2 linked regions of the Nothobranchius furzeri genome follow. The protein of the gene in region 1 binds, or shares a complex with, the protein of each later gene. Links are inferred from orthologs where the notes say so. Each region holds a gene or a part of one and is shown on either strand. Other genes may lie near its edges.

The links. The genes of interacting proteins can lie anywhere in the genome.
Region 2: pole2 (region 1) and pole4 share a complex: the UniProt entries of both Homo sapiens proteins name them as parts of the DNA polymerase epsilon complex. The link is inferred for Nothobranchius furzeri from reciprocal best matches to the Homo sapiens genes POLE2 and POLE4.

The regions. Positions count from the first base shown.
Region 1 is NC_091758.1:27,026,690-27,029,397, reverse strand, and holds the end of pole2 (DNA polymerase epsilon subunit 2), read right to left. Parts: coding exon 2,706-2,708; intron 2,627-2,705; coding exon 2,537-2,626; intron 2,296-2,536; coding exon 2,241-2,295; intron 2,161-2,240; coding exon 2,101-2,160; intron 2,029-2,100; coding exon 1,951-2,028; intron 1,458-1,950; coding exon 1,349-1,457; intron 1,222-1,348; coding exon 1,045-1,221; intron 943-1,044; coding exon 875-942; intron 780-874; coding exon 761-779; 3' UTR 650-760; downstream 1-649. UniProt on the Homo sapiens protein: Accessory component of the DNA polymerase epsilon complex. Participates in DNA repair and in chromosomal DNA replication.
Region 2 is NC_091748.1:55,970,132-55,973,889, forward strand, and holds pole4 (DNA polymerase epsilon subunit 4), read right to left. Parts: upstream 2,272-3,758; 5' UTR 2,150-2,271; coding exon 1,913-2,149; intron 1,720-1,912; coding exon 1,635-1,719; intron 876-1,634; coding exon 834-875; intron 693-833; coding exon 679-692; 3' UTR 461-678; downstream 1-460. Other genes in the region: serine/threonine-protein kinase NIM1, read left to right, coding at 3,625-3,646. UniProt on the Homo sapiens protein: Accessory component of the DNA polymerase epsilon complex. Participates in DNA repair and in chromosomal DNA replication.

The DNA of each region.
Region 1 (2,708 bases):
TTTACATCAACTGTTTATTCCAAAATTTTTGTCACTCCTTACCTCATATTTAAAAAAAAAATGTCTTTGAGGATGCTCAATAGTTATATTTTACAGAAAACACCCTAAAGATGAATGGAAATCAGCATTGAAAATAAGATGATTTGATTTACTAATGTTATTATATTTTTTTTTTACCTCCACTATATAAAACATCTGGGTCATCTTAATCAAAGAGTGGTAATCCATACTTTCTACTGAGGGTATTTTTGGTATATAACTTCAGAGTAAACATTTAAAACACTAAATTACAATTCATGTCTATGACCATATTAGTTAAATAGATATATAGAAATGAAAATTCAGTGTGTCGATTTGAGAAATAGTGATACCAGAAATTACCTTCAATGGAAAAACAAAGAGTCTTTAACATTGCATTAGGAATAATATACAAGTTCATCATTAAACATAAAAATTCACTAGTTGATTATTTGCACGAAGCTTTTTAAAATAGTTAAATTATTTACCTATTTTGCAAACATTTAATGAAAAAATATGAAGAAAATTTCTTATATAAATATTTTTTATGTAAATTTCAAAAACAATTGTTTATTTTCATTAAATGAGCTTCCTCAGAGAGCTCTCTATAAACATTAAAGTACAGGAAAACTCAGCAAAGAATAAAACCTTTATTTTAAATAAAAACTGTTACAAACATGTTTGATTTACTAAGATACAACACAAATATCACACAAGGTAAAAACAAAGCCCATCATTTTCTCTAAAGGTCTTGAAGTTTGCTGTGAAAAGAAAAAAATACAACTTTAACTTATGAACACGAATATTGGTTAGGACCAGTATTAAATATGCAACGATATGTCAGATTTCATCCCACCTGTCCTCCACGGTCCGGCTAGATGGATAGTACACTTTAAACGTGAAGCCACTTTTTGAAAAAGAACCCTGAGGACAAAAAATATAAACAGAAACAAATAAAATACCTTAGTGACTAAAAGTAAACACATTAACAAAAATCATGTTATTTGAGTTTCCTGCTTCTTGTACCGGGTTGAAACAGAGGCAGTCAGCGCTGGTGATGCTGAAGGGGTCGTACTTGTCTGCAAAAATTATGGCATCAGGCACCGGATAGACCCGCAGGGAGAAGTCGTAGGCCCAGAACACGGGACTGACGTACAGAGGCAGTGGGGATAAATGGCCCTGGGATAGGATGGTCTTTACGAACTAAACAGAAGAAAACAATTAAATTAAAAAGTTTTGGATTTCTATTTTTAACTCCCATCTTCTCAGAAGCATCTGATCTTTTTGGGATAATGCATGAACACGCTTTGGGGGAGAAAATGAGCCTCACGTGGTTTGGGATGTCGAGATTTTTGTTTGGCAAACGGACACAATTCCTGCACATCTTGTTGACCAGATCTTCTCTGATGATGACGATCTCTTGGCTGCAGTACTGAACTCTAAACAGGTCAGTTTAAAAAAAACAATTTAGCAACGAAAACCCTTAAAGAGCAAGTCACCCCCTACCAGTCTCACTCCACTCCCACTTCATGTTTGAAAAATGCAACATATGAGGTTGCTTGGCAGACCAAGAGGGCGGAGCAACCAACAAACACACACATACTCAGGCTCACAATGACATTGTGACATCATAATGTACCAGCTAATGTCATAGTCTTAGCCAATAGCGATGGCAGATTTAAATTTAAACGCAGTTCAGTGCAGAGTTATTAACCTAAAGACGACAGGCAGAAAATTTAAAATTTAACTAAGATGCACTAAAGTCCCAAATTATCGATTACACGTGTCTACGGCACGATTAGACACTCGTTTATATGGTTTATCAGCAAAAAAAAAAAAAAAAGTAGATTTGTGGGTGACTTGCTCTTTAAATAGGTGCAGTTTTTTTTTAATTTACTTTTCCCATTTGAAACAGTTACGTGTTCGTTTTACCTGCAGGGATTGGTCGTGAACACAGAAAAGGGGACTCTCTGTCTGAACTCTTCTGTGATGTGGTCTGCCAAGGGAGGCCTGTGGGAAAAATTCAGATTAATCCAAAGAACGAAGGAAATTTTAACAAATGAGACGTGTTTGAGAACGTACCGCGGTAGGATTGTGCCTGGACCCGGGTCTTTGGGACCGGGAACAAACACAAAGCGACTACTGCAGGTTTAGAAGGAACACTTTAGTTCAAACACACTGAAGATAAAAAATAAAAAATAAGAAAAGTGGGCCAATCCTACCTGCTGTGAATGCTGGGATATGCACTTATAACATCAGCAAGGGTCTTCAGTGAATCTGAGAAAAGACAATGTTGTTTTTATGCACTAGGATTGGGCTGATTTCAGATTTATTTTCTTTGAGCTGTCCACACTTAGTGCTCCAGTTCAGCTGCATGATTAACCTGTTAAGCGAAAGCGGGAAGATATTTGCCGACAGTGTCAAAAAGCTGTGTGTGTTGACTTTAAAGCTCAATAAAATGACTCTGAGTCCGTCTTTAGGAGGTGTAGGTGAACGGTTTCTGACCCAACGGCCTCACCTTTGAGCGCTTTAATCTGCGTTTTCCCAAAAGGAGCGGAGGAGAAGTTCCCACACAGAATGAAACAAGTGGGAGGCATGGCGGCATATCCTGTCAAAAAACAAACACATTCAAAACAAGAGACTGAGTTTTCTCACTCCTCCACCTGCAGGGGCCTGTAGCGCCGCACCTG
Region 2 (3,758 bases), on another chromosome or scaffold:
GTTGTTATTAGCAGCTTTGTCATCTCTGCCAAGTTTGTTGTGACATTTGAAATCTAAATTGTTTTGCCACACCTGGAAAAACTGGGTCCTGAAATGGGACAATGATCCCAAATACAGCAGATACAGGTCCTTCTAAAAAATAAGCATATTGTGATGAAGTTCATTATTTTCTGTAATGTACAGATTAACAGACTTTCATATATATTAGATTCATTACACACAACTGAAGTAGTTCAAGCCTTTCATTGTTTCTAATATTGATGATTTTGGCATACGGCTCATGAAAACCCAAAATCCCTATCTAAAAAAATTTGCATATTTTATCCAACCAATAAAAGAAAAGTGTTTTTAAAACAAAAAAGTCAACCTTCAATTAATTATGTTATAATTGTACAATTCTGTTAAAAACTCCATTACTGGGAATTGTATATTTCTGCAGTTTCCACACAAGATGAAAATGTGTTGTTAAAACAAAAGTTTATTCCATTTTCCAGTAACATTACTCACATATTTACAAAACCATTTACACAATATCAGACAAATTCAAAGTTAGAGCTTGTCATATAAAAACATTTAATCAATCTGTGAGGTTGACTTAGAAAAAATGTTCTGTGATTCAACAATGAAACACATTTTAGACAGTTGAGGATCTTTTTAATGTGGTCTTATAAAAAATCTTTAATCCAGTGTTCCTGTAGAGGAAAGAGGTCAACATGATAAGACACACAAACACATCTGCATGTGGGTGAAGTTAAAATACCAGAGTCAAAAGATGACATGGAATAATTTGCAAAACTTTGCAGGATTGTTTCATGTCTTTTTTTATGATTTACCTTCAAGAAATGCAAACTCATCTATGGCCTCTATTGCATTGTCTGTGGAGGAAAAGTAGAAGAGTGTGCAATTAATATTTTCATTTATTATTATTATTAATATTGTTAAAACTGAATCACTTCATGCCTGTTTAAAGTGTTTTCTCCACCAGATGAAATTATAACATTATTATTAACATAAATACTGCTTTTTAGCTACTGAGTAATGAAGAAGAAACAAGCTTTTATATAGTGCCTCTCGAAATAAAAATCAGGAGGCACTTAGTGATTTCTATCAACCTAACTAAAGCTTCCTTCTTTATATATAATCACCATTTTGTTTTGAACAACATGACTTTTAAAGTCATTATATTCTCTAGCACTTCCACTTTTCATGGAGATACACAAATACGTAGCATCCAACTTCGTCCGCTTATCCGGGGTCGGGTCGCTGGGGCAGCAGCCTAAACAGAGGCCCAGACTTCCCTCTACCCAGCCACTTGGGCTAGCTCCTCCAGGGTAATCCCAAGGCGTTCCCTGGCCAGCCCAAAAACATCCAGCGTGTCCTGGGCCTTCCTTTAGGTCTCCTCCCAGTTGAACATGCCTAGAAAACCTCACCAGGGAGGTGTCCAGGGAGGCATCCTAACCAGATGCCCGAGCCACCTTAACTGGCTCCTCTTGATGTAGCAATATTTGTTTCTATAAAATTATGTTGCTAGAAGTATTCTTAATTTCGAAATACTCTTAAAAATGACTTTAAAAAATGTATCAAAATAAAAGGAATCAATTTCTGAAGTCACTTTGAAATGTTTCAGCTCTTACCCAAGTCTTTTCTTTGTAAAGTTTTCCTCTTTCCTTGCTGAGCATACACCATAGCATCTTTGGCAATCATCTCAACAAACAACTCCTGGAAAAAAGGGAAAATTAGGTCAAACTTGTAGGTTTGGTGTATTTTACCTGAAACTAACACGTGTGTTTTGCATTAAACAATGGCAATTGGTTTATATTAACTATTTTGTGGACTAAAAGGTTTATTCTAGATAAAACGTGGGGGACGTGACATGAAAACATTGACCTTCTTACTGAGTAAACCGTTTTACCGTAGCTTTAGCGATGATGAACACAGACTCCTGGCTAGCCAAGGACACGTCTGGATCCGTCTTCATCAGAGCTTTGATGCGGGCCAGCGGGAGTTTGGACAGACGGTTATGGGGCACGACGGCCGGGCCTGTCAGCTGCTGACCCCGGTCCTCTGCCTCCACAGCACGGTTCTCCTCCTCACTCCCGCACCGCTCAGCTTCGAGCTCCGCCGAGGGAACGGGCGTTGCTGATGACATTTCCTATGGCCTCACAATCGTGTTTTGCTGTTATAAAAACACTCGAATATCTCTCATTTTACACGTCCCAGACAACAACATCAACCGCCTCGAGCCAGCATGTGCTTCCGGTACATCGTGGAGCGAATGGTGTTTATTGGTCAAAAGCTCAGACCCCGCCAACAAATACTCGTCTGTGATTGGACAATTGTTAAAGGATGCCTTGTCATTGGTTAGAATTGACGTCAGTCAAAATATGTAGCAGCAAGATTCTGGAGTGAATGTACAATTTGGTGACGCTGTGTGGCGATATTTCTAGTTTTAATTCACGCATTAGAGGTTTTAATGTTGTGATTTTTATTTTTCTACATTATGAGAAATTAAAAACAGTAAAAATAAGTTGGGGTCAGCTCACAAGTGGTCCACTGGAGGGCGGTAAAAGGCGCTGAAGACACCAAACTACTGAAATCAATTCCCTGCAGTTTACTTTTTAAAGTACAATGTTGGCAGATAAGAGCCTTATATCACAATAGCAATTTTACGTTTCTGGAAAAAAGTATGTGTAAGTGAAATAGTGTCTCTTTGTTAAATCTCTGCTTACACCATCATCATCACCACCTCCATCATTCTTAGCTGATCATTGTCAAGAGATGGACAAAATCCAACCAGGTAATCAGATTACAAACATGTCTTAAAGACCTGAAAGACTCTTACTTTTCTATTTCCATGTTCAGAGAAGACATTGGCTGTATTTTTTGGACCTGAGAGTTTTAAGATCACAGCTTGAAGACATTCACTTGGCCTCCAGTACTAGTGACAGGATCCTTGGTGTTATTCTGGACCAGGATCCATCCTTATACTCTCAGATAAAACATGTTACAGTTAGGGTAAATTTGAGTAACTCATCACTTTAGTCATGCTGCTGGATTTAGATTGCTGGGGGGGAAACTGACTACATTTCCTAAATTAGCTGCCTTAAACTCTGTTTAAATACTGACTACACACAACACCCCTCTGATAGTCCAAATATATATATATATATTTTTATAAATGCCATTTTGACCTTTTACTTCCTTGACATCTGTAGGGCAATAGTTTCCATATAGGTCTAACTATCTGTAAAAATATATTTCTTAGGACAAACAATCACAAAAATTAAGATTTTCCTGAAGTTATACAGTATTACCTAATTAACGAACATCATATTCACCGTTTGTTTAAAACTCGTATGCAGATGAAGTTTATTCTAAGAACAGCTGTTTTAATATAATCACCAACAAATAACCAACATTATGTGCTATATGCTTAGGTACATAGGTGCTTTAGTCTTCAAAAGTATGTTTTCAGCATTTTTATGAGGTCAGTTTGTGCCAGAGGACATGATGATCAGGCCACTAATACACAGTATTAATAGGATTGGGAGGAGTGCTTTAGCCCTCTGAGGATCTCTTCACACGTAAGGACACAGTCCGGCGTCAAAGCCTCCGGGAACAGACATGAAGGACCCACAGCTCCCAGGTAAAACCCTTTCATTTATGTTATATTTGATTTAACTATATATAATTATCATTTAACTCACCTTTAAGAAAGTAAAATGCTTTTATTCTTTATGTATTGGTGTTTTAAAATA